Astyanax mexicanus: one gene and its partners. The protein of the gene in region 3 interacts with the protein of the main gene of each other region in a pairwise test. Links are inferred from orthologs where the notes say so. Each region holds a gene or a part of one and is shown on either strand. Other genes may lie near its edges. The genes, in order: ptcd2, zgc:103755 and trim32.

The links.
Region 1: the proteins of trim32 (region 3) and ptcd2 interact in binary tests that used the Homo sapiens proteins (3 or more experiments, as listed by UniProt). The two-hybrid records come from large-scale screens. The link is inferred for Astyanax mexicanus from reciprocal best matches to the Homo sapiens genes TRIM32 and PTCD2.
Region 2: the proteins of trim32 (region 3) and zgc:103755 interact in binary tests that used the Homo sapiens proteins (3 or more experiments, as listed by UniProt). The two-hybrid records come from large-scale screens. The link is inferred for Astyanax mexicanus from reciprocal best matches to the Homo sapiens genes TRIM32 and CLIP4.

What each region holds. Positions count from the first base shown.
Region 1 is NC_064408.1:22,615,268-22,626,324, reverse strand, and holds the start of ptcd2 (pentatricopeptide repeat-containing protein 2, mitochondrial), read right to left. Parts: upstream 5,384-11,057; 5' UTR 5,208-5,383; coding exon 5,120-5,207; exon of another isoform or gene 5,003-5,119; intron 3,245-5,002; coding exon 3,152-3,244; intron 2,990-3,151; coding exon 2,860-2,989; intron 2,614-2,859; coding exon 2,505-2,613; intron 2,100-2,504; coding exon 2,021-2,099; intron 1-2,020. UniProt on the Homo sapiens protein: Involved in mitochondrial RNA maturation and mitochondrial respiratory chain function.
Region 2 is NC_064421.1:10,917,861-10,928,598, reverse strand, and holds the start of zgc:103755 (CAP-Gly domain-containing linker protein 4), read right to left. Parts: upstream 4,401-10,738; 5' UTR 4,301-4,400; coding exon 4,222-4,300; intron 1-4,221.
Region 3 is NC_064408.1:6,798,745-6,809,157, forward strand, and holds the start of trim32 (E3 ubiquitin-protein ligase TRIM32), read right to left. Parts: upstream 4,412-10,413; 5' UTR 4,310-4,411; intron 2,139-4,309; 5' UTR 2,128-2,138; coding exon 82-2,127; 3' UTR 1-81. UniProt on the Homo sapiens protein: E3 ubiquitin ligase that plays a role in various biological processes including neural stem cell differentiation, innate immunity, inflammatory resonse and autophagy.

The DNA of each region.
Region 1 (11,057 bases), about 16 Mb from region 3:
AGGTGTTTCTGTATAGCCCTGCTTTAGTTCACTGAATTACTGAAGAAAGATAAGGGTTGGCTCTTGCTCATGAATATTCATACATGCAAACATATCGCCACTGATTGGCTATCAGCACTGCAGCAGAGAACGATGCTTGCCTTCGCCCCACAGTCAATTTTACAACTCTTATACTCAAACCTGCATTCTCAGGCTTAATTCAGGGAACCATATGTTTTATAAATCAGTCGCTTTTTTTTAATAAAGTATCTTTTTGCTGATTCAAACTGACTCATTCTCTTCTTTACTCAACTCTTCGATCTCAATCTCGATTCAGGTTCAAATGAGCACGCCGCCGCTCTGCAAGTCCAGGCTGGAGCGTTTTAGAAGGTTGAGCTTCCAGAAAAGATATAATGAAAAGTATTTAAAATATAAATTAACATAGACAAGCGAAGGAGAGGATGCACGACTGCAGTGTGGGGTATGTGGTGAAGAACGCTCTCTGCCCGAATTCTGAATTTTACTGTTATTGGAGTTCCCAGCACTAAGTTCAATGGCCTTCCTTTTGGATCAACAGTTCTTTGTGAATCTGGATTTTCTGCACGATCTAAAAAACGAATACAGAGCCCGTCTCAATGTGAAAGACGATCTGTGCCTGTTCCTGAGCCCTACAAAGCCATGCATATAAAATATTTGTGCCTCAATGCAGGCCCAAATATTTTATTTGTGCTGCCAATGATTGGGGGGGGTTTGCAAAATTTTCTGGAGAATACAAGGGGGTCGCGCAGTTAAAAAGGTTAAGAACCCCAGCTCTCTATTAGAGGTGTCACAATTTCGATATTTCATCTCAATCGATCGAAATTATGTCATGGTCTCGAGCATCGAAGTCAAAAAGAGGACCGACAATCTCTCCCGCAAATGGCGCAGCACGCTACGCAAATGGCGCAGCCCACTACGCAAGTGGCGCAGCCCGCCACACAAATGGCGCAGCGTGGACAAAGAGCAGCCCTTTCTCCAGAGAATGTGGACATTCTCATCTTCTTAAAGAAAAACTTAAAAATATAAAAATAACAGTTGTTTTGACTAGCCTAAAATATGTTAATAGTTGTGGTACTTTAAGGAGCATCTTTCTCTCAGATTATTAATTAGTTATATAATTAGTAATATATCTTTGTTAAAGAAAAAAATTGTCATTTTCAGGGACTGAAAAAGTCTTAAAGTCTTATTTTTCATGTTTAACAGTTATAGTAGGATAGAGTTCAGTTCCTGTATTTTTTTATTATTTATTTTGTTATGTGCACACTGCTGCTACCAAAAAAAAGAGGTCATTACAAATATATCTTAATTAAATTATTTAAATTTGACCATTAATGCGTAATGTGGTGTATTACAGATCACTTGTATCACATTGCATCACTTATATCAAGCCCACCTTTTGGAATAAGATATTGAAAATTTGATTAATCAAACCATATGACATGACTGACCATAGACTAATCTAAAACTGGCATAGGCCTCTCTGCTGTAAAAAAAATAAAAAATAAAATCGAGAATCGAATCGTTAGCCTTAAATCGAAAATAAAATTTAGAGAATCGTGACACTCCTACTCTATATCATAAAAACCAACGCGAACGGTGCTCTCTTTGACCGGTGTTCTGTTAAGTTGTGCTACCTTGTCAAACTGTGCTTCCCTAGTGTATATTTAAGGTCTCTGTAAAGCGTGGAATCGACCAGAGATATGATTTAAACATATAGTTACACAAAATAGCTAATGTTAACTAACTGGTATAAACAGAGCTGTAAGCTCTTGAGAGCTGATGAGAGTGTCGGCTCTTTTGCAGCCCGGCTTCAGCTTAGCCTGTGGGCGGTCCCAAGCAAAGGCGGGCGTGGCCATGAACTCACGAGTTGATGTAGACACGGGTAGACACGGGTCATTTTCGGATCAGCAAGTAACTGCTAAACACCAAACATATAAATTCTGCTTTTTAATTCATATATTTGATAACATCTGAAAAATAGCAACGGTAAATCGAGACTTACTTTCATAGCTTCCTTTGGTAAAAAGCATATCCATCATGATGTTAAAAGATGTTTTCTCTGAAAAGAATCCTTTAAGTTTCTGAAGGGGTAAAAAAAAAAAAAAAGACAATTAGCATGTTTGCATGTGTCTCAAACTGATACTTCCTACTAATTTACAGCACTAAATGTTGGTTCTCAAGAGATTTATCAGAAAAAAGAGCAAATCACATTTAGTGATGCATGGCTTACAGATGACTGGCTAAGAGGTAGGAAGAGAACCAATTATTGCTAACTAGTATTAACATGTAACTGTTCCACTACAGCTTTTTCCTTATAAAAAACCTCCAGGACTTTCACAAAAATATTGCAATTACACCATAAACCACTTTCTCTGGAACCACAGAGCACAAATAAAGAAACCACAATAAACAAGCCATTCCCTATCTATTTTGACAGGTTACACAAGAACTGGTGTATCAGTGTTTGTGTTCGTATACATTCATACCTGATCAGTTATTGTCCCAAGAGCCACATCCTCCATGCGCAGCTCATAGCACAGCCGCATAAACAAAGGACCAAATCTGTAAGTTGAGTTGGGATTTACTTCATGGTACCTGCATAAGAAAATAGAGATCATATTTAATCAAGACGTGGATATGTATTCGATTTAGTCATTTTCTGTTGATGAATGAAGGTAATTGTATTCATCCAATTGTTTATAAAATGTCAGTGTCTACAGGCCCATAATCAGCTGGAATTTCATGGTGCTGTCTATTCTGTTTGTGGAGAAGAAGCCTGAAATCTTTTGGTCGCTTACATGCGTTTAATTTGTTATTGAGGAGGTGAGGAAAAATTCCTACCTATAAATAGCATTTCTAACTGTAACCATATCTTCAGGTGACTGGCAAAGATGCAGAACTTGCTTCAGGTCTTCCTGCAGTATCAACTCATTCCTTTCCATTTTCTGATTAAGTGCCTCAAAAAAATGACCTGTAAATTCAGCGAACAAAAGAAAAAGGTTTTCAACGTTTTTTTTTCTAAGGTTCCTTTAATGATAAAGAGATCACTAATACTTTCATTTATCTGGTTGCTAACAAATAAATAAAACACATTAGCAAGCTCAGAGAAACAGGTATTTATGTCATGACTTACTTTTTGTACCAGGCAAGTGCCGAGCTGTGTAGAGTTTCTTCAGCTGGAAATCCTGAAGCCTTACCAAATCCTCTGACAGAAGATGGCGCTTGGCTGAAATGAAGCAGATTTGGCCAGGTGTAAACAATAACGACATAACAGAGGTGATTAGAGCAACTTCAATCTATACTCAGCTACATGGACTACAAAATTTCGTTAAATAGTGATGTATAAGTAATAGTGTACACAACCCATATCATGGAAAACTTTACTCAACACACATTGTAAACAATTTTAGCAGTATGTAAACTGACCACAGACTTTTATGGCAGATTATGTCTTCTTAATCTTTAAATGTATTTCTGATGATAAAAACAGCAGTTCTTGATATTTTAATGCCTTATTTTTACTAGTATTAATTGTAATTGAAGATATCTTCACTATAAATTATATTTGTAATAACTTTAAGTCCAAATATCTGTAATTGAATTTTGATCAGTATAAATGCTGAATTGAGATATATCTAATCCCGTTTTCTCCCCAATTTACAAGGCCAATTACCCAACCAACTCATAAGGACTAGCACACGCCTCCTCAGCCACCACCTCTTTTTGAACTGCTGCTGATGTAGCCAGCACTTGGAGAAAAGCGCAGCGACTCGGTTCTGAAACATCAGCTCACAGATGCACCATCTACCCACCCAAGGAGAGCAAAGCCAATTCTGCCCTCTCAGGGCTCTGGCAGCTGATGGCAGCTGATGGGAAGCTGTAGACCCGGGATCTCCCACTTGGAGCACGTAATTTAGACTAATTTAGGCTAGCAAAAATGTTCTTTGTGGACATGTGCAGTTTTAGCTCTCTATTACAAAACTTCAGACGTCTAGAGTTTAAGTTTTGACTAATAGTTATTAGGGCTGCACTGTTTTGTACTCTGTCCACTCCATTAAAATGATGTTATAGTAACCATCAAATTAAATCAAATTTATTTGTATAGCGCTTTTTACAACTGATGTCACAAAGCAGCTTTACAGAAATGTGACAACAGGTCAGAGAATCAGGCAAAAGATTGAACATACAATACAGAACCCCCATTGAACTACACACAAATACATACACAAACATACAGACATACATAAATATATGACATAAGATTATCCTGAAAAAAAACATCCAGCCTGTGTGAATGTTTTTCTACTATATACTTTGTAAGTTTTAGATATATATATATATAGGTACATCAACCTATCAAAATGTGCTGCAAAAATGGTTTAGGGCCTTAATTGTTTAACTGGCAATGTGCAGTAAGACATACATTGGATTGACAGCCTCACCAGTAGGAAGTAGAAATGGAGAGCATGACAAAACAATGATTAATCAAATAATAGGAAAAGAAATCAGGATTACACTACAAATACGGAATTGCAATTTTAACTTGTTAAAATAATTCTAGTTATATATAAGAGAAGTATATAATAATATAAAGTAACTCTAGTTATGTTATGTAAATCAGTGGTAACACGTGACTAGTCAACATTACATTACGGATGTTGTGCTGGTATTATGTCTAAGCAGCATGGCTTTATTAACCTGAAGATCTGATATTATTACTAGTAAATGTCACAGATGATATCTGAAATTAAAGTTTCTACTAGTAAACTGCAGAAGAGTTATTATGCAATTACATTTTGTTTACTGTTTTAAACTGAGTTTATGACTCCGGTCACTACAACTATAAACAAGAGACACACAACTCTGTAAAATTAACACTCTGAATAAGTTCTGTGTAAATCTTGAGTAAGGTAATTATGCGGGTAAGTTAATGTAAAACTGTGTGGAGGAATCCAGTTGTTATCTAACTACAACTCTAACTGACCGTATGTATTTGATACAGGTGAAGATGATGCTGCACAGTGCCGCACATCACTGTTTTAAAACCAAAGAAAAAAAGCTGATAATTCCAGACTAACGCTGTAAAACAGCGGGTACACACCTCCAGCCCTGCATTTAAAACAGCCGGAGTCCAGCGAGAACTGAAGCGCAAACCGCGCACAGCGGCTCAGTCCTCTCTGCAGCGCCATGCTGTCCCCTGACTGTACCACCCGCAGCCCCGGCACAAGGTAACAGACCGGAACTCAGCAAATATTTACTACTTTCAGTACGAGACACAGTAACAGTGTTAAAGTAAAAAGTACAATAAAATACTAATTTAATTACAGTGGCTCAAAACCACTCACTACAGAGCTTCACCCAACTGTAGATCACCCACCGTAATTCACTAAAACACAACCCCCTGTTTCACACGACATGGTTCGCTCCAAGCTAAAAGTCTCAGTTCAATAAAAGTCTCGAACAATGACTCTAAAAATGTTATATTATATTTATATATCTATTTTTCTAAATTTAATAATATATTTGTGAATATAATACGTTATATAATAATAAAAAAAAAAATAATAATACATATTTAATATTATAAAAATAATACAATATACCAGAATATATAACATATATTATATGCATATTATTATGAAAAACATTTAAATATAATAAAAAATATACACATATAATTTTTATTTATATTTGATTTTTTATTTATATTTGATATTTATATTTTTTTATATATACAGTCAGTAGTCTCAACTATATATATGGTCTCGACCAATGACTGTATAAATGTTTTTTAAATATTTTTTATGTGTTTTTATATTAATAATATAATACTAATTTACATATTATATTAATGTAATAATATGTATGTTAATATAATACATTATATAATATTAAATACTACTACTAATAATAATGATAATACCTATCTAACATTGTAAAAATAATAAAATATAACAGAATATACACAATGTATTATATGTATATTATTATAAAAATAATATAAATATAATAAAGAATATAAACAGCATTTTCTTATTTATATTTTAGTTTTATGTATACAGTCGGTTGTCTCGACTATATCTATGATTTTGTTCAATGATAATGAAATAAATAAAAAATACTTTAATTTAACTTAATTTAATTAATCTATTTATGTATTTCGTTTTATGTAAATACATGTATTTATTTGTATATTCATATGCTACAATACCGTTTTAATAATGTTTAAAAAAAATAAAAATTCAGAATATAATATTATAATAGGCATATAATATAATTGAAAATATAATAGATATCTTAAGTAACAGAAATGTGTTGTTTAATCATTTTATTTTTCTTTATATAAACATATGGCATGGTCATGTTGGCAGCTTCTTGTAAACACAGTAAAATTATTTCTAGTCGTTAATGATTTTTTTTTTTTTTTGGCTAGTTTTGAAAGTAATGTTAGAAATGTGTTTTTAAAATATATGCAAATTCATCCAATAGAGGGCGCTACGGCACTAGCACAATATACCTAGGCAGAAACTAGAGGCCTTTTAGAGCCTATCCCAGTATATGGCCTAAGAGGCATTGCTCCATCTTTCCATCTTTCTAAATATAAACAAAATTAAAGTAATTTACATAATAATAATAATAAAAATAATAATAATAATACATATTTAATATTATAAAATAATACAATATACCAGAATATATAACATATATTATATGCATATTATTATGAAAAACATTTAAATATAATATAAATGTGTTTTTAATCATTTTATTTTTCTTTATATACACATATGGTATGGGCATATTGGCAGCTTCTTGTAAAATTATTTAAAATTATTTATAGTCGTTAATGATTTTTTTTTGTTGTTTGGCTAGTTTTGAAAGTAATGTTAGCAATGTGTTTTAAAATATATGTAAATGCATCCAATAGAGGGCGCTACGGCACTAGCACAAAATACCTAGGCAGAAACTAGAGGCCCTTTAGAGCCTATCCCAATATATGGCCTAAGAGGCATTGCTCCATCTTTCAATCTTTCTAAATATAAACAAAATTAAAGTAATTTACAAAATAAAAACATTTAAGATATATCAAATTTAACAATACATTATGTACTTTGTTCAGAAAATTGAAGCTGATCACGGTCATGAAACCATAGGCTGCTGTGTGTCCTAGGTAAAAACATTCTGGACTGATTTGAAAACCTATATAAAGCAAAGGGAGACAATAATATTTACAATTTTAGACAAGAAACTAATATAACTCAAATATGAAACATGTCTTGGTTGATTAACTACATGTGTAATCTATGTAATAAATCATGTTATTATTTTTTGCTGAACTTTCTCTTTAAAGTGTCTTATTCTCATGCCCAGCTTTTAAAAGTGTTGGATAAGGCACCCTCATTCCAGAGAACTCCATTCTGGTCCCTTTATACGGTACCTCTCTAGTCCACATCCTGGATTAGATATGGTGCCAAACATGTAAATAAGATATTGCCACTGAACTTTCCCTTTAAAAACTCTCTTTTACTCATATTCACACAGGCGTGCTTTAGTCTTTTACAGTGTTTTAGCTCACCTTTCAATGCCACTGCTATAGATTTGGCAGCACTATGTGTGTACACCCTGTGCTTTTGAATGGGAATGAATGATTGGAACTGGCAGTGGCCAGACAATCAATTGAAACCAACAGTCAAATAAAGAAAGGACACAAACTGTCAGCAGGCTTTCAGTCTCACCTACAGCTTATCAATCCAACCGCACAGAGAGGATGACCTTGGAATACAGCAATCTGCTCTTTAGTCTGCTCTGCGGTTATTGATTTTGACCTGCCCATATGTCCAAACGTCTGTAGATATCCTTACATCCTTTGCGTGAGAGTAAAATACACACTGTAAAATGTTCCTTGTAAATTAATGCCAACGTACAGTGGTACAAAAAAATTTGGGCACCCCTGATAATTTTCCTGGTTGCCCTTTATAAATTATTTATTGTTCGGATCAGCAATTTCAGTTAAATATATCATATAGCAGATGAACACAGTGATATTTGAGAAGTGAAGTGAAGTTTATAGATTTAAATAAAGTGTGCAATAATTCTTTAAACAAAATTAGACAGGTGCATAAATTTGGGCACCCTTGTCGTTTTATTGATTTGAATATATTTAGCTCTAATTATTGGAACTCAAAATTTGTTTGGTAAGCGTATTGACCCTTGACCTACATACACAGGTGAATCCAATTATGAAAATGGGTTAAGGTGCCAATTGCAAGTTTTTCTCCTCTTTGCATTTTCTGAAGTGCGGGAACATGGGAACCTCAAAACACAACTTTCAAATAACCTGAAAACAAATCCTGTTCAACATCATGGTTTATGGGAAAGAATACAAAAAGCTCATAATCTCAGAGATTTCAGCTGAAGATCATAGGCACAGTTCTAGTTAAGGCCCGAAGTGGCAGAACAAGAAAAATCTCAGATAAGCAGAGGAGAAGGATGGTGAGAACAGTCATAGTTAACCCACAGACATCCAGAGCTCCAAAGACCTACAACATCATCTTACTGCAGATGGAGTCATTATGCATCATTCAGCTATTCAGAGCACTTTACACAAGGAGAGGCTGTATGGGAGAGTAATGCAGAAGAAGCACACGCCACAAACAGAGTCGCTTGAGGTATGCTAAAGGACATTTGGGCAAGCCAGCTTCGTTTTTGGAATAAGGTTCTGTGGAATGATAAAACTAAAAATAAGTTATTTGGAGAGCAGTATGCATGGAGGAAAAAGAACACAGCATTCCAACACAAACACTTTACTGCTCCCCACATTAAAATTTGGGTGCAGTTCCTTCATGCTGTGGGGCTGTGTGATCAGTGCAGGTACTGGGAATCTTGTTAAAGTTGAGGGTCTCATGGATTCCAGTCAATATCAGCAGATTCTTGAAAACAATGTTCAAGAATCAGTGATAAAGTTGAAGTTAAAGTTGCGCCGGGGCTGAATACTTCAACAAGACCCTAAATCCTAAACACTGCTCAAAATATACTAAAACATTCATACAGAGAAACAAGTACAACATTCTGGAATGATCATCTCAGTCCCCAGACCTGAATATTATTGAAAGTCTGTGGTGTGATTTATAGCAGACTGTTCATGCTTAAAATCCATCAAACCTGACTGAACTGGAGATGTTTTGTGAAGAAGAATGATTCAAAATACCTTCAACCAGAAGCCAGACTCTGATTGGAAGTGTTTAAAGGCTGTTATTTCTGTAAAAGGAGGATCTGTATATTAAATATTGATGTAATTTTTCTGTTAGGGTGCCCAAAATAATGCACCTGCCTTATTTAGTTTAAAGAATTAATGCACACTTTCTGTTATTCCTATAAACTTTATTTTACTTCTTAAATATCACTGTGTTCGTCTGCTATATACTATATTTAACTGAAATTGCTGATCCGAACAACCAAAGATTTATAAAGGAAAATCATGAAAATTATCAGGGGTTCCCAAAATATTTTCAGACCACAGTGTAAGTGGTGGTGGTCAGAATCAGAAGGCAGCAAAATGCAAGAATTTTTAAATGTATATTTTAAATCTATAAACCTTAAAAGCTTTCAGAAGGTTCTTTTAGTTGTGTGTATTTTGAACTATGTAGAGCTTTTGCTGCAACTAAAAAAACTTAAAACCCCCTTTAGGGAATCTCTCCTATAATTTCTTTTAAAGAGCTTACAGTTTATTAATTATGATAACTAAGCAATAAACTGTGAAAAATACAAGGAAAGACACAGATATGAAGTGTTGATAGCTGCAGTGTTCAGGACTATACATCGAATGTGGAATGCCTGCTTATAGGAAAGCTAATTTTAGCTCCCTTACTTATTTATAAGTTCCTGTGAATTATTTACTAAACGCAGAACAAGTGTGAAGCAGCAGAGGAGATCAGAGGAGTCAGTAGTGGCTGGCATCATCAGTTTCCTCTGGAACAGCATACAAAAAATACAGTGTATATTAAGAATCTGGGTGTAGCGTATAACAAGAAAAAAAAATGGGCCTCATTTGCCAATATAGTTGTAAAGTTGGAAGAATTTATTTTTGTATCTATTTAGCAGTTACCACCCAGTCGTTTTCCCTCTTCACAAGTGATGCTCCAACACCAGGAAGGTGAAGACTAGCACATGCCAACTCCAGTACATGTGAAGCCAATCAAACCTCACCTCTTTTCCAATTTCCTGCTGATGCAGTATTACTGGGTAGACAATATGTTTGGAGGAAAGCGCAGTGACCCAGCTCTGATACATCAGCTAATAGACACCTGTGCTGACCAGTCATGCTCTCTCTGACTCTGGCCGCTGATTGCAAGCAGCATGATCCGGGATTCTAACCAATTCAAAGCAGATCGAACTAGTTCAGATGTGTTAATAAATAAGAACACATACACTGTAAAAACTGTCCTTTTATTATGAATTAAAGTATTCAGCTGGCAGCGGTTTCACCAATATTTTACAGAGCCCCTACTGTACAAATGTTTTCTAAAATAGCTGAAAAACTGGTGTTAATGTTGACTTACATTGTAAAAAACAATTTACAGAATAAATTTGAGGTGACAGTATGCATTCAACCAGTTTAATTCATATTATGAGTACATATATGTTAAATAAAATTTAACAGATGTGACAGCATGAAGTCACATTTTTCAGTAAAGAAGATAAACATGGCCTATAACAATGTGACCAGAGTGTCAATCATTACTGGTTAAATTTTGCACACTAGCAGAACAAATTTGGTCTTCTTGTTTTGTCTTATTTTAATTAGAGATTAGAGATGGGTTGCATTTAATAGACGTTTATAGGAATGTAAGTTAAAGCTAATGTTCGTAAGTTTTGGGATTTAGGGCCCTCACTGGTGAGAATGGGTAATTGCACTGAGCATGTGGAAGAATCATTTTAATCTGGGTGGGTGTGATGAGGTCTCCTTTCAAGGTGGATGAATCCGATTCCAGGTTATGTTCAGTCAGAAACTTCACTTCAGCTACACACTTTGTTTTTAC
Region 2 (10,738 bases), on a different chromosome or scaffold from region 3:
AGCTCTTTCACCATTTAGAGGTGAGTATTATCGGCCTGTAGCCTGTGCGTTTAGCATCATAAAATAAGCAACGTGGGAAGAATCATTAGCTAATATTGCAATGGCTTACTGGAACATTCAGGGTTCCCCATTGTAGCGCTGTTGGGCAGCATTAGCCGCTAACCTCGGTTAGCTTTACTGGAAATCTGGAAATCTAAGCTTACTGTAAAAAAAAAAAAAACAGAAGCACTTTACTCACCCAACTAAACAGTTTTCAGGAGAGAAATCTGTGTAGGTTAAAATTCAGTGCTCGTTAAAAATATATATATTTTTAAGAATTACAGTTGATTTAGAAGGAAAACATGGCGACACCCCTGTTCCTTACTAGTGTCGCATAACGCGCCTTATAATCCAGTGTATAATCCACCTTATGTACGCAACTAGACCAGAAAATAGACGTTCATTGATAGTGCGCCTTTCAATCTGGTTTGATTGAGAAAAAATACAGTATTCTACAGGTATTAATATAATTTATTCTGGTAAAGATGGTGTTCTGCATCAAAAATAAAATACATGTCTCTTAAAATAACAGCATCTACTAGTTGAATAACACATTTTGAAATATCAGTATCAGTTTTACAAGTGTAAAAGAACGTTCTTGCTAGAAAATCCACAGATATTTACTTGACAGAGATTTGAAATGCACACTCAGCAGGACTTCCTGGAGCAGATAAACATGAATCTTTTGGCACCATGCCTAATCCCAGACAGTGAGCATTGAGAAGTAGAACAGAGGAACTAGGACCTGCCTGATTTTGATAAAAGTGACATTGCTATACTTTTTTTTGTTGCAATATACAGTATTGTGCAAAATTTTAGGCACCTGTGGGGATTTCAGTACAGAAAAAGCTTCTTATCTGTGAAGTAAGTGTTTATTAGCTCAGTAAAACACCAGCATTACAATAAATACAAACAGCAATTTTATAAAAAGCAGTGCTTTTACAGCCCTGTTTTCCTTAAAACATTTCCTAATCTCTCCTCCTCATCTGAGTTTAATAGAGTTATTTATTTCTAGTTCTGGTTTGGTAAATTACTGGTAAATGTGGTAAATCAGGTGAGCTGCCGACGGAACTGAACATAATATACACATGCTGGCTGAAGGAAATCATCCAGGAGAAATCGGGAACTACACGTTGTTTTTCAGCTTGGCTCACAGGATAGAACATACTTAGTTAAAAATGAGAATTCCTTGTTACATTTTACTGTTTGTATGTTTATTTGTATCTGTTTAAATCATATGTGGTAATTTTTTTTTCAGGTAAAAACCCTCGTATTGCTGAGATGGATCAGTGTAATTTGCTTTGGTGCCTAAAACTTTTGCACAGTACTGTACATAGTGATATTAACCATACAGGACATTTTGTCAGATTTACACCCTGGAGTAAAATGATACTGGGACAGAATGCTTCTAAATTAAATAAAAAAAAATAAAAGTTGAATAACGAACACATTTGCAGGTTTTCATTCATTTTGCCCTTTTTTAAATAAATCATTTTTGTTTGTTTAGTTTAAATTATTCAGCACTTTTACTTCCATTCAGAGCTGAATATGTCTGTGCATCCCTAATAATAGGTAAATATAAACAGATCAATTAAATAGAGATTAGATCCAACCACTAATACTCTTGTCAATAGTTGCAATCAAGTTCTAGTTACTACAACAAAAGCGACAAAAAACTCGTACACACATCTTGGCACTGGAACTAGTACTGTATCCCATGACTTTTGCCATGTCCTATGGAAGCTAAAGCATGTTGCACTGACCTGCAGGATAATTCACGTCATCTGACCAGTATAGAAAGTCAGTGTGGTATTGTATATTTAAGTACAAGCCAATATAAAACAAGCAGACATCAATCCATCAATCTATTCAACATACTTCAAACCAAACAAATCTCTCTATCTTTTAAAACTCATTATAATGCATCCCCCAGTACAAAGTCATATTTGAGATAACATTCCAGTTGTAAGATAATAGGTTCTGGAAGCACTAATATAATATACTTCATAGTAGGTTGCTAAATGTCGTCTGCAACCACATAAAGACAGTTCTGTTTTGTTGCATGGCCCTCTGAAACCATCTGAAATGGATACGCATAAATCAGGCATGATGTATATAAATACGCATTAACATTTGGATGCATGCGGTAATAAAAGCTCTGGGGATTTAAAGCCATCTTTTAAAAAGAGAAAAGAGAAAAGCTAGGCCTGGCTTCAAACCCATTTCACATCACATAAAGGAAAGAAATATAATGTTATATAAATATATCCTTTATCTTCCAACTCAGACCATTTCAAAAACACCTTGCCACTTGAAGAGTGATTCTGAAACTTTTTAACTGACATACCAGAAAAGATCCCACTTTTTCTGAACAATGTAGCATTAAAATAAGTAAAACTAAGCAAATCTCAGAAATCATTAAACAGAGGAATATAAGAGTGATGTGTGACAACACAGTGGCATCCTCTCAGACCCTAGGTTACTGCTTAACACCTGATGTGTGTACTTATTAAGCACCATTTAGCACTTTTTTGTACCTGGGTATGGACTCTGTTGTGTATGCTTTTTGTGTTACTTCTTTATTAGTATTACTATTATTTTTATTATTTGTGTGCTGTTGGACAAATTAATTTTAATTTTAATAAAGTATCTATCTATCTATCTATCTATCTATCTATCTATCTATCTATCTATCTATCTATCTATCTATCTATCTATCTATCTATCTATCTATCTATCTATCTATCTATCTATCTATCTATCTATCTATCTATCTATCTATCTAGGTTACCGTATTTTTCGCACTATAAGGGTAAGGGAATAAACATCTATTTTCATACATAAGGTGCACCACATTATAAGGCATATTTTATGGTGTTGCAATGTTTTCCTTCTAATTCAGCAGGTCTCGCTGCTGGGGGGGGCAAGACCAGTAGAGCTAAGCTAAGTTAAGTAAACAAAACTGTTATTCTTAAAAAAAAAAAAAAAACATTTCAGACAGAAGTCAGCTAGTTCATGCTAAGTGAATTTAAGAGCAATTTATTTTAGAAACTGAGGAGGAACATGACAATTACAAGTATAAAATTTACTACAATAAAATTAAATAACAAAACTGCACAAATTAAATAAAGTCACAAAATTACATATTTCACTTCTCTGCATATCTCTGCATTCTGAGTACATTAGTAAGAAACGCTGTCTCTTTTTTCCCCACAGTATAAAAGACGAGCACAAACTCAGATGAGCATTTTTTTTTTTTTTTTAATCTTCATTTTTGTTTTTTCAAACTATCCGCGATCTCCCCAGACTCTGTGTTACAACCAATGGAACTGCTAGGATCAGAATTACACATAAAAATAGGAATGCACTCAATGTTTAGAAAATAGTCTGTTCGATTTCACCCCAAAAAAATAAAAAATAAAATAAAAAATAGCATTACAAATTGTAGACCTAGGGCGGCGAGTTTCCCAGCTCGAGTTTTCTAAGCTCTGCCACTATGATCTGGAGATCGCTGGATCGAATCCCGGTCATGCAGCTTGCCATCAGCTGTCAGAGCCCTAGGAAAGCACAATTGACCTTGCTCTCTCTGGGTGGGTAGATGGCGCTCATTCTCTTTATCACCCCTAGGGTTTTAGCCAAAGGGGCCCAATGGGCTCAGCACCCCAAGGGTGATGTCAATCAGCACAAGACGTCTGTGAGCTGATGTATCGGAACCAAGTCACTGTGCTTTTCTTCTGAGCCGCTGGCTACTTGATAATGCTGCATCAGCATTTCGGGGCCTCACTATTGTGTCAGAGCATCACTAATGACTGGGGATATACAGCTGAGTAGCAGCTAAATAAATGGGACAATCGACCTAGCTAATTTGGGGAGAAAAATGTGCGAAACTTTATCTGAAATCTAAACTCTAATTAGGAATACCATCTTAGGATCCCTCGCATGTTGCCAGTGGTACATGTACCACAGTTAGTAACCCAATCCAAAATTATTTTAATCCAAATGCTTATTTAATTCAACAATGTTCCAGCCGTAATTACAATTTATAGGCATATTCACATTCATAAACACCTAAATTATGCTCATGTGTCACAGATCAATACCACAAGTTAAAAAGCCTTAATATGTCACAGCAAAGAAGGAGAAAACGCAGCACAACCAGCTCTCAACACACCTGGAACTCACCAACGCCATCAACAGCACCTACAGCACTCTGAAACTCACTGAGCTGGTGCTCCGTCACGGAGGAAGAACCAACCGACATGGCAGAAGATCCCACAAAGTAAAGTTCAAGCTAGACTAGAGCACAGGGGGAAGGTACACTGTGATCTTCCTGGCCTCTTCTAATAAGCCCTGTGATCAGTGGTGGCTCAGGAGCTATTTCTGGCTCACTGGGATGCCATTCCCCTTACCCTGGCACTTTTACTTACCGAGAAACGTGTGATCCAAGGTAAACAAACACAAAACGAAACACGGCATCAGACGCAGGAGGATCAGATGAAGACGAGATACAAGGGCAACCCTACGAGTCCTATGAAAAATGAGAAATTAAGTAAACTGAGCTGAAGACTCAGGCCCAACTAACAACTCTCACTCTCTCATTAGTCAGAGAAATTCCTCGGGGGTGTGCAACTCTAAGCCTATTCAGTGGCATTGCCCTGGATTTGCTTCTAATTTGGCACTGTCTGCGCGTTGTGCAAACTAACACACAATATCCCTTTTGACAGCAGTCAGTTTTAGGCAATGATCTGAACCAGAGTGTTCCTATTGATTGGCTGTCTTTGCAGGGATTTGTAGCGACACAGTGACACGACAGAAGAAAGCTTTTTCGTTTTGAGCTGGTTTAAAGTTTTAATGACATAATTGTCAATGTGAGTTTGAACAGCCGGACCGGCACCATGAGAAACACACGTGAACATCCACAAAAATAGTCCTGGTTACAGGAAAATTGGAGCTTAAACATGAGATCTGCTAAAAGACATTGCCTCACACCAGTGTGTTCACTCAGCGGCCATTAATCTAAATTTTGAATGAATTAAGGACAATAAAAACCTGGATTAGGCCTGTCACAATAATCACATTATCGACTTATCGAACAATAAATGGACACTACATCAATAATATACAATAATCGTGATATTGCCTATTTGTATTTATTTGAACGTTTGTTCACATATATAAACAGAGTAGGGCTGGACCCGAATATTCGGGTATTCGGATATTCGTTCGTTGAGTAGGTATTCGGTTTTTAATTTTGGTATTCGGATATTCGGTTTTTTTCTCCTTTCCAGAGTTCCACCTCACTCTAACCACTTCTGTTCTCGCGGGTCCCGTCAGAATATCTTGCGCACGGGACAGAACTGAACTGTTATTGGCTGGAGCGGGAGTTTAATCCAGACGATGCGGGAGCAAATTAATAAATAGTTAAGAAAACAATAATATGTAATAATTGTAAAAAAAAAAAAACCTAAAGAAAACTCTCAACGCGCAGGATGGACCGACACACACACGCACACACCGATGGTGTTTGGACTGGGGTAAGGAACGGGACCACACTATTCAGCGCTGCTGTTTTAATAAATATATAAGTAAATTTGAAGCATTAAATGTAGTTTATTTAATTTACATTAGGAACGTGGGGCGGGAGCGGCAGAAATGTGTATGTGGCGGGCGGGCGCGGGATTAAAAGAAGCAATTTTTTTGCGGCGCGGTAACGAGACAGAAACGCGGGAGCGTGGAAGAGTGGGTTTAAAAATCAGTCTCGCGCAGACCTCTATTATACATGATAAAAAAAAAATGCAGGCTCTTCGAAACTGATTTATATAATAAAACGTAAGGGGTAATGTGGCAACAGTAGGGGCTAAATCGGTTACAAAAGCCTGGCCTACAAAAATGATGTCTGAACGAATTTCCTCTTATCTAATATAATTTAAAATGGTTTAAAAATATAAAATAATTTCTAAGCAAACGAAATATTTAATTTTGAGCTTATAGCCCAAGTGCAAAAATACAAAATCAGTAATACGGCTATGCCCTGCACAATGCTTAAACCGAAATAGACCAAGTACAATAACGTCATTAACAATGACTTTCCTCTACTCTAATATAATTTAACATGGTTTAAAAATATAAAATAATTTCTAAACAAACGAAATATTTAATATTGAGCTTATAGCCCAAGTGCAAAAATACAAAATCAGTAATATGCCCTGCACAATCCTTTAACCGAAATAGACCAAGTACAGTTTACAATGACTGTCCTCTAATATAATCAACAATGTTTAAGAATATAAAATACTTCCTGAACAAACGTTTTTTTTGTTTGTTTTTTTAAGCAAATAGCCTAAGTGTGAAAACACAAACAGCAATTTACTGGGCTGGCTTGCGCAGCGGAGAAACCGTGCAGCAGCAGGCTCGGTGTGGGGCAGCAGAAATTCCGGGATGAAAACACAAAGAAATCTGGGCTAAAAACACAGAAAAAATATGGGGTGAAAACACAAAAATCCGGGATAAAAACACCAAAAATCCGGGGTGAATATGTCTCGTCGGTCAGAGCAAATTGAACATTTTTCAGTGGATTAAAGGGGCCGTGATTTGCTTTTTTTTTTTTTTTTTTACCTCTTTTTTTAAAAACGAATATTCAAATATTTGCTTCGAATCAGTGCCGAATATCCGGAGCTCAAAAAACGCTATTCGGGCCAGCCCTAAAACAGAGAACAGTATTTTAGCCAGTCATGCTGTAAAAAAAATAATAATAATAACAGCAACTGCATACACACAGTGTGTACTGCAGTAGGTAAAGAAAGAAAAGAGTTTACATTTCCCAGACTATGGTTATTTAAAATTGTGCTGTATTTAAAACATTTGTATAAACGTCAGTGACATTTAAATGGTCTTAAAATTACAATACTGTTTATCGCAATAATTTCTGAGATAATATATCGTCCACAAAAAAAAGCTATTGTGACAGGCCTAGCCTGGATACAGTTCCATTCCCTTACATTCTATAGAAATGAATCCAAAAATGTTTACCATGTTGTCAAATTTGCACCCAGAGTCTACACAACAGAGATCAGAGATGAAAAAATGCACTCTTTTGTCATTAAAACATATGGGTCTGGTCATATGAAGCTACAGGTCATACTACAACTAGCCAGCAGAGGCACTACACCTGTGGTGGCTTCATATTTGAGTTGCCCAGTCCTTGTTAAATACAGTCATTGGTATGAATGGGGAGGATCATGTCAATTTCAAAATATGTTACATAGTTTGTAGTAGTGCTGGGTGGTTTGACCACAAATGTCGGTATTCTGACGTGTTACGGTATATCACTGTATTTTTATTTTTTATTTAATACAGGTTTAAGATTTACTCTACTGTTAGGAGTACATATAATATCAAACATCAAATATCAAAATAAGGCTTTGATCAGTATTAGGTTTACTGTGTCCCACAAAATAAAACAATATATGAAGAAATCAGACTGAATTAACAAAAAACAGCTAAAGAACGTGAGCAACTTTAACACGTCTTCCTTTTTAAAAATAGCTAAATATTTTAAATAGTTCCATAAACACTATAAACGGACCTAAAATACTCAATGTTTAAGTCAAAAGAGATATTTCTCAAAAGCTCTATTACACAAGTAAGACACAAGCGTAATATCAAACTACTATATGTTATTATTGAAGCCATTAAAGTCAAGAAAAAAATTACTGTAGAAAATGAAGGTCAGGTAATCCAACACATTTTAAAAACTCAAGTGCAGTCCCAAGGACCATCAAAAGTCTACAAAGTTATGATGAAACTGGCTCTCATCAGGACCTTCATATGTGTTCCTTTATAATCTAGATGACTTCAGTATTCATTTACAATGTAGGGGAGAGAATAAAAACATTTAGTGAGAAGGTGTCCAAACTTTTGACTGTTACTATATTTATAACTAATAATCCATTGTAACTTCTAATACATTCTCAGACACATCAATAAGGAAGTCAGATTTTTGGCCTCAGTGTTAGAAATCAGTGAATCAGCTTTAAACACATTAAACAGGTGGGTGGTGTGTATTTACTATGGTGTTGCTGGTGTGGTTTTCTACTGTGGTGCAACAGAAGGAAGGCTGTTCCTATTGGTCAGAAGAGGGAGCTAGTGCTGCAGATATCTATCTCTCTATCCTCTAAACCACAACCTAACAACCCACATATAACCCTGCTGCACATCCTGTTAACATCCTGTTACTATTCTCACCGTCTTTCTGTCTTTACAGGGTGAAGTTAAAACCCATCAGTAACTTTATTCTATATAGCTTTTTTCCCACAGATTTTTATTTATTTATTTGAAGGTTATTTATTTTTATATGAAGGTTCTGTATATGAGAAAAAAGCGAGAACATACACTTTTTTATTAATAAAGATATTTCAGGTGTTTTTTTTTGTTTTGTTTTTTTAAGTGATGCAATAGAAGAACATATTTTGTTTCATAAAATTGCATTAAATAAGAGAAGCGCCTATACATCAAGTAAAGGTGATTAAGACATCAAAAGTAAATAAGTAAGTAATTATTTTAATAAGGGTGCAAAAGTTTAGTTTTCATCTTAAGTGTATGAATATGTCTCTTCCTAAAGACAGGTTTCATAAAGCCTTATATTAGTATGTTTAAAGTTTTTATAAACCTATAATATAAGACATTATGAAAACTCTCTTTATATTCACACACTTGTTTTGTTTAACGTAATGTATATTGCTGTTAGCATATGTATCGTAATACAAACTTTAAACAATCACAATATATTGCTTTGCTTCCAGTATCACAATTTCCTATGATATACTGAATCATATACATATGTATTGTGTATTTTAAGTATTGCATTGTTCGGTTCTAGCCAAAACACAGCCCTATCTATCAAAAATGGTACAATATATATATGTATTTATGTATACAAATATTCCAGATATGCATAATTTAAGATATGACAGATATGATATAAACTATTGGCAAACAAATCATTATATTATATCATATTATATTATATTATATTATATTAAGTTATTTGCTAGTGGATAATATTAGCATGAGTCTATCTTATAGTATTAGTTTAACTCATAACAAAGAAATGGTTAAAAACAGGGTTTTCACATCAAAATTAAAGCCCATTATTATTATTTTTTTTTTATTAGATACATTTACCGATACATTGATTGTTGTGTAGCATTTATTTAGACATACAATTGTGTCAATGGTCATAGGTTTGGAGTTTAGTCGTACTTGGTGTCACAGTAGCCTGCATAACCTAAATTAGACTTGCTTTTATGCTTCAGCCTAAAAAAATGACTTAATTTCACATAAAATGTTGTAAGCAGCACTTTTTTAATTATTTTATATTATTATTATTAACATTAATTTATCCATATTTTTGGTTACTTTTCAATTATTAATCATATGTGTTTAATTAAAGTGAATCTGCAAAGTGTAACGTTTAATTGCACACGCTCTCATCCAGCACATCTACAGTAAACAACCACAGCACAGAAAAAGATTTCAGCAGCTCAGCTACGGCTTCCTGTTGAGAATGCATTTACAGCTCACAAAACCACATAATGAACACTGACATCATATACATAATATCAAACATACTCTAACGATGCACACTATATGGACAAAATGATAAGACGCATGGTCATTTAGGCTACTGATTCTTCTTAAATCGAGGAGGCAACTTTTTTTTTAGGAGACAGTGTAGCTATGAGGTACTTAAAAGAATTCAAAGTATAAAACATATTCTGGTTTATTTAACAGTGTTTTTGTTTGTTTATAGAACCGTTCTACATGTGTTGCTGTATAGCTTTAATATAGTCTTCAATATTACATTTACAGTGTAAAAGAGTATTTTATATATATATATATATATATATATATATATATATATATATATATATATATATATATATATATATATATATATACACACACAACTCTGGAAAAAAAATAAGAGACCACTTAAAAATTATGAGTTTCTTTAATTTTACCAAATTGAAAATCTCTGGAATACAATCAAGATGAAGACGGATGATAACAAGCCATCAAACCAAGCTGAACTACTTGAATTTTTGCACCAGGAGTGGAATAAAGTTATTCAAAAGCAGTGTGTAAGACTGGTGTAGGAAAACATGCAGAGATTAATGAAAACTGTGATTAAAAACCAGGGTGAACTTGTTTTCTTTGCATTATTTGAGGTCTGAAAGCTCTGCATCTTTTTTTGTTATTTCAGCCATTTCTCATTTTTTGCAAATAAATGCTCTAAATGACAATATTTTTATGTGGAATTTGGGAGAAATGTTGTCTGTAGTTTATAGAATAAAACAAAAATGTTAATTTTACTCAAACATATACCTATAAATAGCAAAATCAGAGAAACTGATTCAGAAACTGGAGTGCTCTATTTTTATTTTATTTTTTCGATATATACACAGTATATACACAGTAGCCTGGCTTTATTGCAGAATTATGCTGAGTGCAGGGCCTGCAGGAGAGCAGCACAGCTCAGGTAACCTGCTGTAGGTGATGTAGCTGCAGGTCAGGTGTTTAACAGTGCGGGTCAGTGACAGGGCTGTGTGCTGCTGCAGCTGCAGGGTGAGCAGGTCTCAGAACAGTTATTATAGTGTAGTAATAATTCATTACAGTAGTTATACAGACTCCAGCTCAC
Region 3 (10,413 bases):
AGAAGCCAGCTATGCCTGTAGCCAATCAAATCAAGCATATCCACGTGTCTTGAGCGATTGATTGGACAACCAACGGAAGCCTCAACAAGTCGAGGAACGTCGCCTCTGCAAGTACGTGTAGACCTTGACGCAGTGGTCCCAGCAATCTAAAACCAGCAGCTGTCCTTTATGCGTAACAGCAACACCCACAGGGCACGTTAGACCTTCCTGAATCAGAACATTGTGGCCACCTTCTTTGGGAAACTGCAGAATTTCCTTGCGCCCGCTATCCGTCACCAGCAAGTCTCCATTGGCGTCCACGCACATGCCCGTGATGCAGCGGAAGTCCTCCGTCTCGGAGAAGAAGTGGCTGAGCTGTTTCCCCAGCTGACCATCCGTGCCCACCGAGCCGATGGAGAAGCCGCCTTCCAGATGGTGCTCGTTGTGCCTGTTCTCAATGTTCAGGCCCAAGCCTTGGGTGAAGTAAACCGTTCCCGAGGAGTCACAAGTCACAAACTTGGGCCTTACAGCTGAGCACAGTCTGTTGTAGTTCACTACTCCTACGTTACGATCCACGGCCAAGCACCACAGCTTCCCTCCTTCCACATCCGACACCACAAACTGTCCAGAAGGCATGGCAGCTATGCCCCATGGCTTGATGAGCTGGTTCTTATGGCAGGCGATGCAGTGGCCGTCCGTGGTGTAAACCTTGACAGAGTTGTCATAGTTGTCCGTGACTCCGATAAGACCCTGAGGGGTGATGGCGATGGACAGAGGGATGAGGTTGGGCAGGTCGGCACCTAGGAAGCTCAGGACAAAGTTGTCTATGCTGCTAGGGTTGCGGCGGATCTCCCGCTGGAAGCCCTTGCGGTTGAATATCTGGATGCGGTAGTTGCCTCGATCCGCCACAAGCACGTCTCCCTGTGGAGTCACGCAAATGCTCACTGGCAGGTTGAACATGCCCGGGAGGTTCCCTTTGCATCCCATCTTCTTGACGAACTGACAAAGCTGACCTCCGGAGGCGCCACCTGTTGCCCCAGGCGAGGGTCCCCCTCCATCCACGGACTTGGACTTGAAGCTACCAGGTGAGGCACACACGGCTTCTTCTACAGCAGTTATCATGTCTACATCTCGATACAAGGGCAAAGGAGCAGCAGCGGCTGCGGCAGCAACAGTGGCAGCAGCAACAGCAGTGGCATCAGCGGCGGCAGCTATCTCCAAACCATCCTCTTCATCTGTGTTCACCGTACAAGGTTTAATAGTCAGCTGACCAACGTCTAGGGACTGCGGGTTCTCTGTTTTGACCAATTCAGGATCCTGCAGCTTCAAGAGGACGGGAAGGCTGCTTTTCAAATCAAGCTCTTCCTCGTCATCATCTCCGCCACCTTCTTCAAGCAAAGCAGTGTCCGTCTGCTTGATCCTCATGGTGAGGTAGTCGCATCGGGACACCACTTGCACCTCTGCAATGTTCAGAAGGTATGTCTGCTCTTCCAGAATCTGAGCGTTGAGTTTCTCCACCTCAGCCATGGAGGCGGCGAAGGCACGGCGCGAGCGGCCCAGCTCCTCCTGAAGCCGGAGCTCCGCCCTGGAATACTCCTGCTGCACGGCCTTGTACTTGAGACGTAGAGACTTGGACACATTATCTATGGCTGCCTTCTTCTTCTGAATGTTGGCCATGGCCTCTCGCAGGTTGGTCAGCTTCACCCCAAGGTCCTTCCTGCGCTGCTCAGCGGCCGTGCGGATGGTCTGCACGCTGTGACCCTGATGCTGATGTCCTTCGCACTTGCAAGCGTCGCACAGCACCACGCCGCACTCGCAGCAATACTGCCGCGGCAGGCGATTCTTGCAGGACTTGCACATGAGGCCGGCTGCAGAGCTGCAGGTGCTGGCGCAGTCTATGATCTTTAGCACCGTGAGGTTGTCAGCAAGCTGGGAGATGCTACTCATGCGGGAAACCTTGCTGCAAAACGGGCAGCGCACCCCGTTTATGGTGCTGGCCAGGAGCTTCTCGAGGCACTGCCGGCACACCGAGTGTCCACACTGCAGGAGCTTGGGTCGGAGCTGGTCCTGATTGTACGTCTCCAGGCAGATGGGGCACTCCAGCACCTCCCGCACCAGGTCTGGGTCCAGGCATGTCGGAGTGGCCATGATGCATCTCACTAACGGAGGTGTTCACAGAGAGGAGAGACAAGAAGAAGAGAACCAAGTGAGTCATTTAGAGTACAGTGCAGTACAGCAGAGAATTATGTAATATGATGATGTGATGAGTGAGCAAGTATAGCAGGCGTTACGCTAATTACGGTTAGCTCATGCGGGCGAAGCAAGGCAGGGCATTGTATTCCTTGGTCCAACCACTTAGCCCTAACCCTTTGTTTTGCGCTTGCACACCTAGGGGTAGGGTGTCTCGATTTTTGGTAGGTTATAAGGGTAGGTTAGGTTAGGGGAAGTTTTAAGGCTACATGATCCTTTAAGTTGAACATTTTCCTATATATCTTTACGGTCTCACCTTATCCCCTTCAGACCTTGCGCCCAATGCATTACAATTACAACATTAAACAAGCAAATCAAAAATTTACATTAACTTAGCCCCGCCCACTGCAGCAGAAAAAAAAACCCCAGCAACTCAAGATATAAGTGCATGTCAGCACAACAGCCAACAAAGCAAAGTAAGAGTTAAATTTTACTATTTTTTACGTGATTTAGAAACACTTTTATGATGTTCATGTTACTGTGTATGGATGATTTGTGTACAAAGTACAAAGGTCAATATCAAATCTAACATTAAAAATGTAAAACACATTTTAAGGCATCCAATGCAATGGACATTAAAAAAGAGCAATCAAATATATTTTAGTTAATGGGACAATTAGGGTCGTCTTTTGTGTGATTGAACAAAAGACGACAGAAAACAGCATTCTTATAGTTTTCACTGGAACTTAATTCAGGTCTGAAAGAGTTAAAGGTTGCAACACAGGCAGAGGCTGCAGTATTTAAGGTGGAATGGAACGGAAAAATAAAATAAAAGCGAATAAAAGCTAAATTTAGCTCCCAATCAGAGAGGAATTAAGGAATAGATAATAATAATTAATTCTAAGACATACACTAAAGCCCTAAATGCTAATTCTAATTCTTAGGGGGAGGATTTTATCCCTTTTAGTTGGAACTCTGCTTCAAGGAAAAGGGTTACAAAAGAAAAATGGGATTGAACCGTAGGGCGTTTTCACAACAGCACTCTTTGGTCGGGTTAAAACAGACTCTGATTGTTTTTTACTCGAACGAACGGATCCCAAACTCTGGAGCGATTTGTTTGTGGTGAGAACGTGATCAGGCCTTGATTTGACCCAGTTGTCAAATATACTCTTTTATTTTTTTATATAAAATGCTGATAATAGTATACTGCTATGAACGAATGCTATTCGCAATTCTGTTTACTATGTGAACATCTGCACGGCACGTCACATTTAAAACAATGCGTTTTAAAACGTAGCGTTTCAACATTAAGTGCACAGAATATTTTCACTATATTTACTTTGAAGGTGGTTATCTCCAATCACACCCAGGGAAACCAAAGTGAAACCAAACCAAACAGAGGGAGAAACCCTTCAAATAAAACTGATTCTGATCATAGAAACCATAAAAACTACAGGTGCGAAAACACCCTTAGTCTTGTTTTGCAGTATTTATTAATTTATGAGACCCAACATGCACGTGAGACAGGTGTTCCCCTGAGCTATTGGCAGGCACTGTAGTATTGCTAGTATTGTTATTCTTCCTTTAGACATAGAAAACACAGCATTTTTTATTTTTTGTCAAATTTAAAGCTTTTTAAGACTGTGAAAAGATCAGGAATACTTGTTTTGACGTCTCCAAATCTATACCTAGTGTATTCCCTATTGACTTTGTTGATTTTGCATGCAATAACATCACCACATTAGCTTCCTTAGCCAGCTAGCCAGCTCTATATTAACTAGCTAGCTAACTAGCTCTATCTTTATCTTTTGCTTTATATAATATAATCACGAGCCAACATTTGCAATATTCCGCAGCATGCATTGCAGATATTGCACATACTGCAGCAATATCAGCACCAAACAAACAAACAGGATGCATTAGACGTCCAGCATTGCACAGATGTTGCTGTGCACCTGGCAGCCATGCTAAAGGCTCGAGCTAAGGCCCAGTGCAGAGGCAGAGGGCTGCACCCTGTGTCTATGTGTGCGCGCGTGGCAGCGGTGTATATGCAGTGCAGTGCAGTGCAGTGGTGTATATGGTATATGCTGGTATATGCTGTGAGTGGGTGAGCGCGCTGTCCGCGTGCGGTACCGCTTACCTCAATGTCAGCCTGACTGCGGGTCTCTCCACCGCCGCTCGCTGCGTGCGTGCCTGCGCGAGCGACACTGCGGAGCGCTGACGTCGTCAGTGGCGGCCGTCCCCCACTGCGATCTGATTGGTGGAGAGACAGACAGCCTTCCTCAGCTCTGATTGGCTGAGAGAAATGTCTGTCACTTATGTCAACAAAAAATAAGACATATTTGTATAAATATGATGTCAAATTTAATTTAAACATTTTTATTATTGATCTTAAACATTACTACTACTACTACTACTACTACTAATAATAATAATAATAATAATAATAATACTAATAATACTAATAATACTAATAATAATTATTATTATGATTTATTTTTTTCATTTTTATTATTATTATTATTATTATTATTATTATTATTATTATTATTATTAATACTACTACTACTACTACTACTACTAATAATAATAATAATGTATATCTTAATGTTTTGTTATTTAACAATAAAATATTTTATTGATTTATTGTAAAAAAAAAAAAGATATGTATAAAGGTTTTTATTTAAACATTTTTATTATTGATCCTATACTGTACCACTACTAGTCACAAAATAATCTTAAACTCCTAGTATAATCACCTTCAGACAGCCTGTCGCTGTTATAGTTTGTTTATTTTTTATTTTATTTTTAGTTTTAGTTTGTTTTTAGTTAACTTTTTGAATTTTGTGTCGTTTAACCTCTTGTCTTTATTGTTTCTTTGATTTATTTTACTTATTTTACACACATATATATATATATATATATATATATATATATATATATATATATATATATATATATATATATATATATATATATATATATATTATTATTATTATTATTGTTATTATTTTATTATTATTATTCATCTGTAACTGCAGTCTTATAATTTTTTATCACCTGTAATTTTACCTATGATTTTATTATTCTTACTAAATTCTTAATTTTATTATTATTTGTAGAATAGTGGTGTTTATTATCTTATAGTAATGCCATTTACTGTAGAGTAATTGTACTTTACACTACATTATTTTTTTAAATCTTAAATATTTATCTATTATTTATATTAATCTTATTTAAATCCAAAATTTAAGTTTGATGAGAACAAAGCCCAGTTTCCCCATATCCTCCTCTGATCAGTTCTCCTGCTGGTGTTCTGTTTTTAATGCAGTTCCAGCTCAGACCACCAGATGGAAGCAAAAGTCCACTCATGGTGTATCAGAATAGAGCAGATAGTGAACTGGAGAAGTGAACACAGGTGCACAGCAGTGTAGGTATATGCACAAACATTTAATATGATTTAATTTAGACGCCATAAACAGGATGTAGTGGGCGGAGCTTGTGTTGTGTACAGTACACTGAAAAAAATGAGTAAAATTGACTTTAAAAAAGTTTTGCAACTTTCTGCATTTGCTTTTTTTTAAGTAAATTTAATTTCAGATAAATTTAAGTAACTTCAACTCGGTTTCAAGACTTAAATGTTACACAGAGTAAATAAGTGAACTGAACTTCAGTCAATCCTTTCTGTTAGTAAACTTTACTTCATTTATTTTTACTGAATCAATCCTTTCTTTTAGTAAACTTTACTTCATTTATTTTTACTGAATCAATCCTTTCTTTTAGTAAACTTTACTCCATTTATTTTTACTGAATCAATCCTTTCTTTTAGTAAACTTTACTCCATTTATTTTTACTGAATCAATCCTTTCTTTTAGTAAACTTTACTTCATTTATTTATACTGAATCAATCCTTTCTTTTAGTAAACTTTACTCCATTTATTTTTACTGAATCAATCCTTTCTTTTAGTAAACTTTACTCCATTTATTTTTACTGAATCAATCCTTTCTTTTAGTAAACTTTACTTCATTTATTTTTACTGAATCAATCCTTTCTTTTAGTAAACTTTACTTCATTTATTTTTACTGAATCAATCCTTTCTTTTAGTAAACTTTACTTCATTTATTTTTACTGAATCAATCCTTTCTTTAAGTAAACTTTACTTCATTTATTTTTACTGAATCAATCCTTTCTTTTAGTAAACTTTACTTCATTTATTTTTACTGAATCAATCCTTTCTTTTAGTAAACTTTACTTCATTTATTTTTACTGAATCAATCCTTTCTATTAGTAAACTTTACTTCATTTATTTTTACTGAATCAATCCTTTCTTTTAGTTGCAGAAAGTTGCAAAACTTAAAGTAAAGTAAATTTTATGCTTAATTGTTTCAGAGTAAAGTTAAAAGTAAGTGCTATTAGTGAATATAAAGTAACTATTGTAGTAGAGAAGTGGGCGGAGCTTCTGGACACGGTGGAAGTAGGGGTTTCCACAACCGTTTTGTACATTGAGGGGACGTTTGCAGTTGTTTTCTCACATTTTCATTCCTCGTTTCCATGGATGATTTAATAAAATTGGTTCTTCTATGGTCATCCATCACTGAAAGAACTCTTCGTAGCTCCTTTACTATAATTATTTCTAAAGGTTCAGAGATTGCCACGTCCTGATTTTAGCCTCCAGACCCACCGCAGACCCGGCCGAGCCGGAGCGAATAGGATGATGGATGGACGGATGGATGATTCTGGACTTTGCTCGGTTCACAAGTCAAACTCTGACCGGATCAGTCCTGAAACTCCCGTCTCAGGAGCTTCTGTTTATTATTATTCTGAACATTTTTCCCTAAATAAGAACCTTTCCCAAAGAACAGAATGCACGTGTGGTCAGCCTGACGTATGCGATTAGTAAATGCCGCAGGCCTCGATCAATCAAACGCCCTCACGGTGATGACAGCTCCATTGTGAGTCTGGGTGCATTCGGGGGGAATGTTCCTTAGGCTGACCGGCCCGAGTTCTGGAGCTGGAGCTGGGAGATTTGCCCCACACTGAAAAAAATAAATCTGAGCGTTAGTAAATGTAACGTAATTAAATCTGTGTTATTAACAACAAAGAAATATGTTTCTATATTTACATGAATATATCTAGTTTTTAATTACTCCACATTTGTTCAAAATACCAGATATTGTGTATTTTTTCTTTAATATAATTTATTTATGTAATCCCAACAAATCTTTTTAGGTACACAACAAATCTGCACAACAAACACAAGTCTTGTTATATTTACTCGGGTTTTAGTCACTACCTGTGTCAATGCTCTTTCTACAGTGTTGGTTCATGCAGCTTTCCTATAGGCTCCTGTAACCATATATTTGCATATTGGGTGTGGCCTCTCTCTCTTACTCACCATCTTTGTGTTGTCTGTTGCCCAAAGCTACCTTATCCTGGGCGTGCAGTAATTATAATGTGGCAAGAGGAGTAAATAAATAAATGTTTATTAAATAAATAGTGCACGACTACGCCACCTAGAGGGAATTTCCCTCTTAGGAAATACAAGAACACACAGGCCCAAGACACTTGGAGAACAGAGACGTAGTTTCCAAATTAAAACAAGTTTTATTAACAATTATCAAGAAAAGATTATACACACCCAGAATCACAAAAGAAATATATATATATATTACAACTGAGGGCTTACCAGGACAGCAGGACAAAAAAAAAAAAAAAAATCACCTACACACACACATACCACTGCACACGAGCACACACCCACAATTACGAAAAAAAAAAAAAGAAAATCCCAACCGAGGCAGAAAAGAACTAGCACACCAAACACAAAATATTAAGAAATTAAGGTAAGGCTTCCAACTGACCAAAGTAATCCTCCAAAGAGAATAACCCCATAAAATAAACCCACACTCAAAAAAAGTATACAAAACAAAATAGAAACCCAATTAGAGAAAAGAGCTCCAAAGAAAAGAAAACCCAAATTAACTCAAATTCCAACACAAAAAAGTTAGACACAGAAAAAAAAGATCAATTAGATTAATCAAAAATATAGAAGACAAAATACCAAATTAGACACAAAACAACCCCAAAAGGCAAAATTAAGAAACTAAAAGACAAAAACTGAATATCACAAAAAATGAAAATCAATACGAAAACACAAACTTAATTAGCCAAAATAAATCAAAACAAAAAAAACAACAAAAAAAAACTAAATCAAAGCAAAACAAATAAGCCAAAGCAAAAACGAATTAATTAATTTAAATAATTAATTAATTAATTAATCAAAATTAATCCAAACAGAAAACTACAATAATATACATTGGCAGGTCTCAGTGTTTATAGGCTGTAAGAGCACATTAACTTTATTCTGTGTTTCTACTGATCACAGTGTGCTGGATTTGAGCTACAGAGTTCACTCTTTACCCAGTTTACTCCTGTATTGCTCCATTATTATACTGTAATATAATATAATATATATAATATACTAAATATGTTGAGAATACCCATGGTTAACTTAATTGATAACTTATGTGAATATTACTAAAGCTTTATTAAATTGAAAGTGTGTGTTAAAATAAAGATGAATTGTTAGTTTATTTGACTAAACAGATCATTTTTAAAAAGGACAAATTAAACACTTAAGTTGAGTTAACTCAGCTTTTTAAGTCAGCAGAGTACAAGAGAAAATTAAGTTGACAATACTTTAATTTCCCATGTAGTGTCAATGGACTCTTTTAAGTTGACACTACCTGGAAAAGTATGTTAGCACTACTGGAGAAAATTAACTAGTATACAATGACTACTCTTGCTTGATCTACCTAATTATCTGATGCAAAAAGTTTATATGATTCTTTTAAGTAGATCAAGAACACTATTTTTTTTCAGTGCAGTGACCTACACTGTTATGTTTTTTCTTCTTGTGAGGAAACGTAGAGTTCTAGTACTTGTCTGTGTTTAAAGGTTTCATGCTATCGTTTTTTTTTTTCACTCATTTTAAATGTCTAGTTGTGTCTCTAGTATTAATAAATTCCAATGTGAGCTTATTTATGTGAAAGAAAAGTGCTCCGGTGATTCGGTATAACTCTGCTTTAGTCTAGTGGAGGAGTAGGCGGGAAAGAATGACAGGATTTCAGCTCTTGCACATGAATATTCATACATTTACATTTACATTTATGGTATTTAGCAGACGCCCTTATCCAGAGCGACTTACAACAGTGCTTCATACATGCAAACAGGACTCTTAACCCTTGTGTGGTGTTCGGGTCTGTGGGACCCGTTTTCATTTTTCATCAAAATATTTTTTCTAACTCAAACTCATTGGCATTGGCTCATTTTTTGTGAGAAACATATATCAAAACACATTTTCCATAAACACACACTGTACACCCCACCCCTCCAACCATTTATATTACATACAGTATGTTTGGCCAAGGGCTAATAAACATTGCTTCATTTGTAAATTTGAAACTAAACAAATTTTCTACTCATATCTTGAGTTTAATTCATTTCCTTTTACATTTTATTAAAAAACTAATAAAAAAAGAGTAGCACTTTTTGAAAGAAATGTAACATAAGAAAGGTAAAGGGCAAATATTAACCATGTAAGCTGTTTATATTGCTTGCGATTTAGGTGAAGCAAGCATGTGTAAAGCATTTTAATGTAGAATTGCTTAATTTTGCTGAATTAAATACAAGTAACAAAGTAAACGAGTAACAAAAATATGAACACCACACAAGGGTTAAGTTTTGAAGTTTGGTTGGCGTGAGATTTGGGGGGGGGGGTGGGTTTTTGGTAGTGTGCGCGATGTGTGTTTCAGAACTTTTGAATCGGACAGTTCTTCGTGCTTGACACTCTGGCTGAAACTCCACCCTCTTTGACTAGGTCTGCCTAACAACAGAGCGATCTATATTCTGATTGGCTCAACCAGAGCACATTATAATATACAGCCGATGGATTGGCAAACCTGAGAAATACCATGTGTGGCGTGTGAGCGTGTGAACTCGCTGAGGTGCGTGTCACACGCTCAAAGCGTGAGACTTGAGAACACTGTGCAAACGTATCGCCTCTGGCTAACAGCACTGTGCTCCCGAGAGAGGGTGATTTTTCTGATGGCGGTGCTGAATTCGTCACAACACCGCCATGTGTTTTTTTTTTAGGGCTGTCATATCGCTGACATAATCTGTTCCTTGACTTAGAGTCTCTGTAAAACGCAAAATCCACCGGAGATCCTATGTAAACCTATAGT